Oryzias latipes: one gene and its partners. The protein of the gene in region 1 purifies or fractionates together with the protein of each later gene. This does not show direct contact. Links are inferred from orthologs where the notes say so. Each region holds a gene or a part of one and is shown in the gene's direction. Other genes may lie near its edges. The genes, in order: SRSF protein kinase 3, ccdc86 and ebna1bp2.

Region 1 (3,652 bases):
GGGCCACACACTGATTGGGAGGACGATTGCCTACCTTACCTATGAAGCCTTAAAGTTCTGGCACCTCTGCTCTGATCTGTACAGTAATTTTCTGATGTCTACCTGGATCTTTTTTCATGTTAGTGTGAAGATAATTCCTACAGGTTTCTTAATCAGTTCTCAGTCTGTGTGAAGAAGCACTTTAATCATCAAACATCACCTTAGTCCTACATCTTTGTGAAGCTAAGCAGACTTCAGGGAAGGTACTCTTGAGCTCTGAGAGTTCAACATGCTCCCAACCTGAAAGCTTCTTCCTATTTGATGGACAGACAGCTGCATGTCAGCTGAGACTCTGGGTTTTGATTGGCTGTCTCTTTCTGTTTGGTCAACTTCTAACTGCTCTTCTTTCCTGTCTCTTTCTGTTTCCTCCTTTTCTACTTGTTTGTCTCCATGTCTCTAGTTAGTATGGCTCCTAGGAATCTACAGGTAAGTGCCCAGGTGTGATGCCTGCTGTGTTCAGATTTGTTCAGTGCTCAGAGACAAATTGTTAGCTTAGCTGATTTAATGGATCAAACTCAAATCTCTATCATCAGTAGGTAGGCAGGGGGCGTGGTTATGCCAGTGCTTCTGGACTTGCTACTTGACCGTGAATCCTTCTGCTTTGTTAAGGAATACCCATCCACTCAACACAAGCTTGGCCCACACTTTAAAACCAACCAAATATAGCTCTCGGTTATAGGTGATGTTGGGGTGGGGGTGGGGGGGGTCAACGGTGCCAACGGTCCCACCCACATTTTAGAGGTGAATATCCAAATGAACTCCTGCCCCTCTGCAGAAACTATTTTCTGGAAAACACTACCGTTTTTTCTTTTATTTGGGCTAAAAACTGCATAATCAGGATGAAAAGGCCGCTGGGAAAACTTTTCCAATAGATCAGAAGATGATCAGAGTGAGTCTTTGAGTGACCTTGGAGTTTAAGGCTACATTGGCAAAAAGCGATATTAATCCATTTGAGTGGTATTTGTGATAAGATGCATAAAACCTTAAGAGAGCCCGTCCCCCGCTCCCACCCAAACAAATGTTGCACACAGGCACATAGGGCTCCGGGAACTGGATGGGTGGGACATGCTGCCTGGGCTCACCGGGGGTGTCTCTCTTTGGGGTCGCGTCGGCGCCCGCCCTCCATTCCACTTTTACTCACATATTAGACACCCTGATTCATCTAGTGCAGGGGTGTAAAACTCATTTTCACCGAGCATAGTGGCTGTCCTCAAGGGGCCAGATGAAACTTATACATGTAACTAAATGTAATGAAAAATAAATGAAACTACTCCTTAATGTTAAATAACTCATTTTATTTATTTATCATATCTTTTTAAAGTAACAATTACAGTTGCATAGAAAACATATGTTTGCTTGTTCCTCTAGCATAAATCCTTTTACATTAGATTCTGTCAGGTTAGGTTATGTGGACAGTGTTTAAGTCCTAATGTATAGTTGCCCAATATTTCAAGTCTGATTCCACCTAGATATGAATAAATACACGTCAAATTTTGTTTTAGGAAATGAAAAACTTCATGCTCTCGATGGCCACATAAAATGACATGGCGGGCCACATTTGGCCCGCGGGCCTTCAGTTTGACACATGTGATCAAGGGCTTTGTGGGGATGGTCTGGTGGAGGGGGGTACGGTGAAACATCCGTGCTCATCTTTCACTGGTCCGTCCCACTGTTTTAACTTCCACTTAAGACACACACACTACATGTTAGCAGCAAACACTGGAAATACACACCAATCACAGAGGGACCCCGGAGTGGGGGGGCTCTACTGCTTGGCAGCAGTGGGGCCCGCCACACTGGAGACCTCCTATTTTACCTGCAGCACACACACAGTACACCCACACCACCTTGCTTAGGTGGGGTCTGGGAGGGGCGGCCGGTCTTCACCCGCCTGGTCCTCTCAGGGCGGCCTGGCTTTTAGGGATCCTGTTGGCTGTAGTGGTGGTCGGGCGTGCGGCGCTGGTGCGTTGATCGGCCGGAAGGGGTTACTGTGTGGCGACGGGGGGTGGGGGGCAACTAGAAGATTGTGAGTGTGTCTGCGAGAGTGCATGGGTGGGACAGACTGGGGGGCTGGCTCACCAGGATCTTCTGGGGCTCTCCCTACCCATCGCAGAGTGGGGAGGGCATTGGGGGGGTATGGGAGGAGGGGTCGGAGAACATGGCGGGTGAGGAGAGTTGTAGAGGGTAGAGTAGTGGGAGGAGGGCGTAGAGCTGTGGTTGCGTGGTGATCTCTAAGTTGGTTGGGTCGGGTGCTGGGGTTGGCTTGCGGAGACGAGGCTCCGGCTGGGTGATGGGCGGCTCCTGGGCCCTCTGGGCCCTGGCTTCGTCCTTGGCCCGTGTCCAGCGCCCGGTGGCCCTAATGGCTGCCGCCTGGTACAGCTGAGCGCGCCTGTCCTGTGGCCTGGGGGGGGAACCCTCTGTGCCTGGCTGGGTGGGTGGTTCCCGCTCCTCCGGGGCTGCATGGGGCCTGTTGCCGTGGTCTGGCTGGGGAGGATCTGCTTTCCCTCATGATGAACACAGGGTTCACTTTGGAAGCGTGCATGTATCTCCACCCCCACGTGCACACTGCCACACTGCTCCCTGCCTGCTTCATCCCCCCTCCTAGCCCACAGTGTATTGATGGACAGATATGTTCTGCTTATCTTAGTGTCAGAATTTCACCTTTGATGTAATATTTGTCGTTTCAGCAGATCTGGTAGAATTGTTACATCTTAAAATAATAACCAATTCAAATCGGCGCTTGTATTCCCCACTCTCTCCCCCTCTCTCCCTTTTATTCTCTTCTCCCCTTTACTCTCTTCTCCCCTTCACACAATTTTCCCCTCCCCCCCACACACTAAATGTAACAAATCAATAAAAAACAAAAAAAAACAAAAAGGGGTTTATACAAATTCACACTCTGGTTTTCTGAAGATATATAACCCCTTTTGTAACAGTAAAACTTGTCCAACACAAAAGGCCTTCAGCGCTTATCTGTTTGCTCAGTTGTTGGACAGAACAAGTTTGAAAAAAACAATAAAAATAAAAAATAAAAGGGTGCCCGGCACTATTAGGGACCGGCATCTACAGTAATGAGCATGTGTTAGACTTGGCGTTTATTGGAGACCGGCGTCAATCATAGAACGGCCACTATTGAAAGATATACAGTATTAAAACGGAAAGGGCTGCTCAATCATCCATCCCAGTGTGTGAGTTTGAGGGTAACCCAGAGCATGCACACTTTGTTCTGTAGAACCTTAAGCCCCCTGACCTGTTTGTTTGTGTTTGTTTGTATGTGCAGGCTGGAAAAATGTCCAAAAATAAGAAAAAGAAACTGAAAAGAAAAGCAAAACGTCAGCAGAAACTATTGGAAGAAAGACTTGAGGACATACAGGTACTTGTGGCTTCAACTTTAGTTCTTCAAAATATTTCTAAGTACTTCAGAATACCAGAGTATAAAAGTGTTCTTTTGTGTTTAGAGAATGGAGGAAGAAGAGGGTCTGTTTCAGCCCGATGACATAGATTCTAAAGGTAAGTCTATGGCAAAAGCTCTTGTTTAAAATTGCAATTGTAAAAATAATACTTTATATCAGGGGTGCTCACTTTTTTAGCATCTGAGCTACTTTTGAGACGA
Region 2 (3,752 bases), on another chromosome or scaffold:
TTTTAAGCCTTTTAAATGACATATTTGAAATTAATACAAATATTTAAATGAAAAGCAAACACAATACTATCTTTTTACATATAAAAACCGACCCCAGAGCTTTGTTTAATAGTATTAATTATATTAACAGTATACACACATCCTTAATAAACAGAACAACATGATAGACCTGGAGAACTACAATGTAAAGTTAAACTTACCCGTTGTACAGACAACACCGTAAGCAGGAAGCTAAGTCTCAACAAAGACAAGATCAGTCTCATTTTGAATTCTGCTGCTCCGTTCTGTTTATAACCTTTTTTGTTTAATCAAAACTCCCAACGACAGAACCGCTGAGGAACTGAATTTCCTGAGTGCTGTGTTTTGAGCAGAGCGGCATCACGAGACGCGGAAGTAAAATCACGTGACATGTTGATGCAGTGATTTAATGCAACCGCACGGTGGCACTATTTTGCAATTTCTTTTCCCCAAACACGAGTCTTAGATTTTCATTTTATTTTTACCTTTCACACGAGGTGTATACTTCTCAAAGATGTTGAAGAATTGTTATGTGGTAAAAATAAACAAACAAATAAATGAATAGCATGTAAAAAAATAGCTTCCAATTTATGGATCTTCTTATTGCACAAGATTACCCAAATGTTAAATGACGTTCATACAGTCTATTCCCCTTGTCTTGCCTGCTTTTTTTTTTTTTAGCAATGGGCTTGGATATGCAGGTTTTACTTTAGATAAAACCAAATACATTTATATCGATTACATTGGAATTAATCATTAAATTATTTTTTATATATTTGCTTTTAATTGAAGTAATAGCTAGCTATTTTTATTAAAAAACTGAATCTTGTCTTTTTGCAGATGACATGAACCTTTTTTTGAAATAATTGAAAATATTTAACAAAAGAAAATGAAAAACTGAAATTAAAAAGTGTTTGATTTCAAGTAACAGTTGCTCGCACTACTTTAAAACAAATGTGTTGTTTATGCATTTATTTATTTATAATATTGTGTTAAACTTTGGAACCCACAAAAGAATGATTTGAAAAGATGTTTACATTTTCTCCAGTTTAAAAGAAAGTGTATAGACAAAAGACATGTGAGAGTTATGATAAAGTCTATTAGTGTTTGTTCTGGTATCACAGAACATTTGATCTGTCCGTACTTGTTCTCGGTCAAAACTTAAATTTGATTACGTCACTGCCTCTCTTTGGTTTTTTTCAAAGCCATTATTATAACCTTAATGTCTATTGATAACAGTTATTTTATAACAGTTTGTTTGTCTGCATTTGTTCCTTGTGCTGCTTTACAGTGCTCTAACGGTATTTTTATTTATGAACTTTATTGACAAATACTGTAAATACAGAACATCATACATGACCATCATATATGGTCAGTGCACAAGACATTCCATACCTTGTCCAAATTTGTTTGAGTCAAACAACAATAGATTATTGATTTTCCAGGTTAAAAGAAAGAATAAAGGCACTTTAACTCAAAACAAAAACACTAATTATAATAATAACCTTCTTTTTGATGTTTTAAATTAGACTGTTTTAACAGGTTTTGTATTGGTGCAGGATTGAATACTTCATACATAGTCTCTACAAACGCCAACTGCAGGCTGCACCTTCGCTGTCTCACCTGTAGGTGGCAGTAATGCGTACTTTTGTTTCACATCTCACGTTGAAACCCGGAAACAGAATGACGTATGGCAGGAAAGTACAGTCTGGACCCACGTGGGTAAAGTTTTTCACAGTTTTTATGTTATTGACCGCAAAACTGACAATATGCCCAAGAGAGTGAAGCCCACGGTGGAAGAAAATCCCGCTCCCGAAGGAGGACACGAGGAGGAGCCGGTCCAGGAGGAGCCGAGACGGACCAGGAGTGGCCGCAGGTTGTGCACTCCCGCCGCCTCGGTGAAGACTCCGAGCAGAAGGACGAGGCGCTCTGTCCTCCAAGAGCTGCCGGCAGTGGAGGCACAAAACACGGTAGGACCAGAGAACAAACCCGGTGATCCCCTCGAAGACGACTGCAGTGGGTCAACGAAACCAGAGTTAGAAAACCACAACGAGGAGCCGGTGGGGGAAGCAGCCGGCGATGAAGCTAGCGGAGACCACCATGACGTGCTAAAATACGAGCCTGTAGAAACGGTTCCTCCTGCGAGTTCAGAAACCATCCCAAAGAAAAAGAAGAAGAAACCTCCTCCTGCTGCTCCAAACGTCAAGCAGAGCGCAGTCATTCCTTTGGGAAAACCCAAATCAGGACGAGTGTGGAAGGACCGAAACAAACAGCGGTGAGGAGCAAAAAGTCTGTCTGCTTGTTCTCTTCTGAACCTTCACCCATCTGACGGAACACTTCCTAGAATGTGGGGCTCCGGAAGGAGCTCTAGACATGATAACAATAAGAATAATTTACTCCTCAAATTTTTCGTTTTTGGCCACTAACTGGTATGTTGTAAATTAGTATTAATTTGTTTACAAATTAGTATTTAAATATCTTCAATTCTCACTAACTTATGCCCACAAAATGCTCATTTGACCACATGCAATTTTGACAAAATTTTGACAAAATTTTTTGGCCGTGAAACGCTTAATTGTGGCCGCAAAATGCAAATCTGACTACACAAGCTACCAATTTTTTAGCACAAAAATCTTTTTTCTGTGGTCAAATTGTTAAAATGTTAATTTTTTGTTGCCATCAAGTACTTAATTTTGGCCACAAAATGGAAATTTGAAGGCACAAAATACTCACTTGCAAATAGAAGGGTTAATATCTGGCCATGAATTACTTATTTGTGCCTACAAAATGCTAATCAAATGTTTATTCATGGTCATGAATTACTAAACACTCATTTAAGCGCGCAAAATACAAATTTGAGGCCACAAATGATTAGTTTGAGGAAGCGTTTTTTTGTAACTAAGGGTTTTCTTAAAAAGAACATTTTCTTATTTAACTTCTTACAAACATCTAAACATTTTCTTTCCTTGTTCATTTAATTGTAAATGTTATACTTTTCTTTTGCTGAGTTCCTCTCAATGATCCATTTGAATGTCTGTCTCCACAAATGTGATGGGACGCTTTTCGTCCAGGTTCTCTGCTTTGCTGCGAGACAAACCACTGTGTTCCTCATGGGAGAAGAAGATGGAGGCCAAGCGGGAAAAGGAGCTGGTGAAGGCGTATTCTTTGAAGCTTAAAGAGGAGAAAGCACGACAGAAGGAGGTAACGTGAAGGCGTGTGTGTGCTGAAGCACTGCAGGGTCCATGCTGTGGCCCCTCCAACAAACTCTGCTCTGTTCTGTTTTCTTTAGGAAAAAAGGAAGAGAAGGGAAGAAAACCTGAAACGCCGCGCAGAGAACGAACGCAAAGCAGAGATTGTGCAAGTGGTACGTCCGAAGCAGACTCCGTTCTGATTCTCACGCATCTGCTTTATAAAACATGCCAACCTTCTCCCTAATATGTTTCATAGATCCGGAACACGGCTAAGATCAAGAGGATGAAGAAGAAACAGCTCCGCAAAATCGAGAAGAGAGACACTCTGGCTTCAAATTCAAACACCAAAACACACACAAATATTTAACACGATTTAATGTAAACATTAAATTGCCATGAAATCCACTGTTTTGTCTTGTAGTTTTACTACAAATGTACTGACTGATCCGACTGGAGCTGTTCATAAGCCAGAAAGAGATGCTTTCTGCTTTATTTTCAGAGGAAAGTCACTCTTAAAGCATAATTCTACAATTATTTTTGTTT
Region 3 (3,752 bases), on another chromosome or scaffold:
GCCGGGACCCCTCAACACCCGCACAGTACAGCAGATAGAGAACGCTCATGGAGTCAATGTCAGGAAAACGCTCTCTTGTCTTCGGGTGTGTGTGTTGTTTTTTGAGAATACCAGCAACAACAATAACAAAAGCAATAATAATAATAATTCTTTCATTCATCATCTAAAACCGTTAAATCCCTTTTGGGGTCGCTTGGCTGCTGGAGCCTATCCCAGCCACTTATGTGAAAGGCAGGTCACCAGTCTGACACAGGGCCACAATCCCACACACACTCCCATTCCCACCAAGGGACAGAGTAACCAATTAACCTATGAAGCATAAGTCCCTGGGGGAACCCACAAATGGACGAGGAGAACATGCATACTCCACATAGGGAAGTCCAACCATAATAATGATGATTCATTCATTTATTCATTCATTCATCATTCATCTTCTTCTGTTTTGTCCCAATTTGGGGTCACAGGATGCCAGAGGCCAATCACCGCCAATTGTGCGCGAAGGCAGGGGACACCATGGACAGGTCACCAGTCTTTTGGAGGGCCACAATAACACATTCACTCTCACACTCACACCTAGGGACAATTTAGAGTTGCCAATTAACCTAGCCAGAGACCCCAGAGAAAACCGGGGAGAACATGCAAACTCCACACAAACAGGTCCCCCATTGGTGTTCTGGTTCAGGTCCCCCAGCCGGGACTTAAACCGGGGGCCTTCTTGCTGTGAGGCACGGGCGCTAACCAATGTTCCACCGTGCAGCAATAATGATGATGCTGATAATGATATTATTATTATTATTATTATTATTATTATTATTATTATTATTAATAATAATAATAATAATAATAATAATAATAATAATAATAATAATTTTTTTACATTTTTGTTTTACACTAACATGTTTGGTGGCTCTCTCCAGCTGAATTTGAAAGACACTTAGGTTTCACCTTGTTTTCTTTTTCTGCCGGTTGAAACTGCGGGTAATATTTTAATTTGGGAAAAAATAAATAAATGAACAACCTTGATAATAAATAAATTACCATTGCATTATTATTCTTGAGTGTAACAGTGGAATGTATTTTCTTTTTGTAGGAACCTTTTGTTTTGATCGCAGTTTTCCACCGGCGCACTCTGCTTGTAGAACTTCCGATGACGTCATTTCTCCCCGCGTGAACGCTAGTACACGTGAGGAAAATCGAAGCGTCCAAAACAATTAACTTTTCTTGGTTGTTTGGAAAGATTTGCCCTCTTTATGGTTATAGCCGTAAACACGATGGAGTCTGCAGAAGAGGAGTCGCTTCTCGGCCTGGATTCAGAGGAAGAAGGCAGCGAGTTATCGGATGGAGAGGTGAGTTTTTATGCTAACCGGACTCAAGCTCTGATAGTTGTTCAGCTAAAAGTTATCATTATATGATGTACGCTTTGGGGATTTGTTTTCCCCTTTTTTAAAAAATTGGTTAAAGTTATTGTCTCTGAAAGATTTGGTCTAAGTGATTATTCTAATTTACGAAAGGTAATGTATTAATTTATTTAACTGTAGCTTCAGGAAGCCTTCACCAAAGGGTTGCTGAAACCTGGAATGAACGTTCTGGTGGATAAATCTAAGAAATTGGTAAACAATGTGGTAAGTTGGTTTTCTTACAGTTTTAGTTACACCTGTGATGAAGCTACTACTCTTAAATTAAGAGAAAAAAAGTGTATTATTTATAGTGCATTTATGTGAACATGTTTAATGGCTGCAGGAGGGGTTAAAAGAGTGTCTTGCTGACTTCCGGAAAGACCTCTCCTGGGTGGAAAGGTTAGACCTCAGCACTCTTCCAGTCTTATCCCAAGTGGAAGGGAAAGTTCCTGCTGAGATAAATGGAGGACCGGATGCAGAGGATGATTTCCAGAGGGAGATGTTCTTGTAAGTGACCACTGTGTTCTAGACCTCGGGTTCAAAGTATTATCATAATCTGGGTTCGGTTATCACATTTGCAAAACATTTCTTTACCCTGTCATAATTGCAATCTGCAATTTGTTCTTACACATTTGTACGACTGCATGTCATTGTTGATCCTAATTTAGAGCTTTGACTAAAGATACTCCACACACCCAATAAACCTGACATTGGTGCTGGTAAAAACACATCATGCGTGTTTTTATTTTTTTCTAATAAAATGACATTTCAAAATATTGAGCTCAGGATTCAGATTTGAATTTTTTTTTAAATCACCGGTGGGAATATTTTGTAACAGGATTTTGTAATGGTCATATGGTGTTCTAGGCTACAGCTTTTTTTTCTTTAAAGGAACTTTTTTTAAAGCAACCATTTACAGTTTTCAGAAACGGGAAAAAAAAGAGTTATTGAAGTTTTGATCTAATGAGGAAAAACAAATGACCAGGTTTGTGTGTTTGTGTTAAACTGAAGTGATGGCTGTTTAAACTGATGATGTCATTTGTTTTGTTTTCTTTTACAGTTACCGTCAAGCTCAAGCCACAGTCCTGGAGGCCCTCCCTCTCCTGAGGAAGCATGACATAAACACCAGAAGGCCTGATGATTACTTTGCAGAAATGGCCAAGTCCGATCAGCACATGCAGAAGGTGACTTGCTTTCATTCATGCTAAAGGGGGTGTGCTTTCTAACATGTTCTAAGCTCCAAACATTAATCATGGATAGTACTTGGCAGGAATGTGGCTTTCTGTTTATTTGTAGCAGATGTCTGATAGAAAAGTTAAGCTGGACCTTTGTAATATGGATGGCTGTGGACCCATAAAGACTAAAAAGCTTTAGGAAGATGCAAATTCATGAAGAAATGGCTTGAAAAATATGGATTACTTGTGTTGATTGTTAGTAATTACTATAGCAAACTGCACAGTTTGCTGAAAGACATAGATGTGGCACAGAAAGGGTCAAGCGGATCAAAACGCATGTGTAGAGAAAGAAATAGCCAGACTCCAGCTGTTTGTTTCATTTTCTTTGTACGGATTTGTAGGTTTTAATTGTTCTTTAGAAGGTTTTCAAATTCACTTCTGTAAATCTGTGGAGACCCTGTAATAGGTTTGTGAACAAAATGCAGTCTTTTACTTTACAGGAGTTGGAAAACAGGAACAAACCTGTTTTGTTTTGTTTTTGTTTTCCAGATCAGGCAGAAGCTGACCGCAAAGCAGATGATTTTGGAAAAGTCTGAAAAGGCCAAGAAACTGCGGGAGCAACGGAAATTTGGCAAAAAGGTTTGTTTTTGCTGAGACTTGTTCTTAACCGCCTCTCACTCTGTAGATACGAAGACGTGTTTGTGCTCCAAATGGTGAGGGAACCTCTGTCTGATTGTTTGCCAGGTCCAAATAGAGGTGATCCAGAAGAGACAGAAGGAGAAGAAGGCTATGATGTCTGCTGTAAAGAAATACCAGAAAGGTGAGGACTTGGGTTTTGTTTCTGTGGCCATGATATGTACTTTGTAATTGTTAAATGCCAAATCTGATGCATTCTTTTACATTTTCTTATTCCAGGAATGTCAGATAAACTGGACTTTTTGGAAGGAGACCAGAAGATGGGTAATAATTCTTCAGGAGGTCCCAGTAAAGCAGTGAACAAAAAAGGGTAAAGCTTCTCCCCTCTGCTTTTTTCCTCTTTTGCTTCTGTCATATTTTCTCTAAATTCCTCTGGTTTTCCCTTGGATTCTTCAGCCCCAGTGCTAAGCGGAAATACAAGGACCAAAAGTTTGGTTTTGGAGGCAAAAAGAGCGGGAAGAAGTGGAACACCAAGGAGAGCTAC

Evidence for each region.
Region 2: the proteins of SRSF protein kinase 3 (region 1) and ccdc86 purify together in Homo sapiens (affinity purification with mass spectrometry; 3 studies listed by BioGRID and IntAct, with this or other methods). This does not show direct contact. The link is inferred for Oryzias latipes from reciprocal best matches to the Homo sapiens genes SRPK3 and CCDC86.
Region 3: the proteins of SRSF protein kinase 3 (region 1) and ebna1bp2 purify together in Homo sapiens (affinity purification with mass spectrometry; 3 studies listed by BioGRID and IntAct, with this or other methods). This does not show direct contact. The link is inferred for Oryzias latipes from reciprocal best matches to the Homo sapiens genes SRPK3 and EBNA1BP2.

The regions. Positions count from the first base shown.
Region 1 is NC_019865.2:30,373,048-30,376,699, forward strand, and holds part of SRSF protein kinase 3, read left to right. Parts: intron 1-439; coding exon 440-465; intron 466-3,319; coding exon 3,320-3,412; intron 3,413-3,497; coding exon 3,498-3,549; intron 3,550-3,652. UniProt on the Homo sapiens protein: Serine/arginine-rich protein-specific kinase which specifically phosphorylates its substrates at serine residues located in regions rich in arginine/serine dipeptides, known as RS domains.
Region 2 is NC_019859.2:15,309,707-15,313,458, forward strand, and holds the start of ccdc86 (coiled-coil domain-containing protein 86), read left to right. Parts: upstream 1-1,336; 5' UTR 1,337-1,787; coding exon 1,788-2,293; intron 2,294-3,089; coding exon 3,090-3,219; intron 3,220-3,307; coding exon 3,308-3,382; intron 3,383-3,465; coding exon 3,466-3,576; 3' UTR 3,577-3,752. Other genes in the region: glb1 (beta-galactosidase), read right to left, coding at 201-263.
Region 3 is NC_019862.2:16,838,256-16,842,007, reverse strand, and holds the start of ebna1bp2 (probable rRNA-processing protein EBP2), read left to right. Parts: upstream 1-1,141; 5' UTR 1,142-1,250; coding exon 1,251-1,346; intron 1,347-1,538; coding exon 1,539-1,622; intron 1,623-1,740; coding exon 1,741-1,904; intron 1,905-2,457; coding exon 2,458-2,581; intron 2,582-3,121; coding exon 3,122-3,211; intron 3,212-3,316; coding exon 3,317-3,392; intron 3,393-3,487; coding exon 3,488-3,578; intron 3,579-3,664; coding exon 3,665-3,752. UniProt on the Homo sapiens protein: Required for the processing of the 27S pre-rRNA.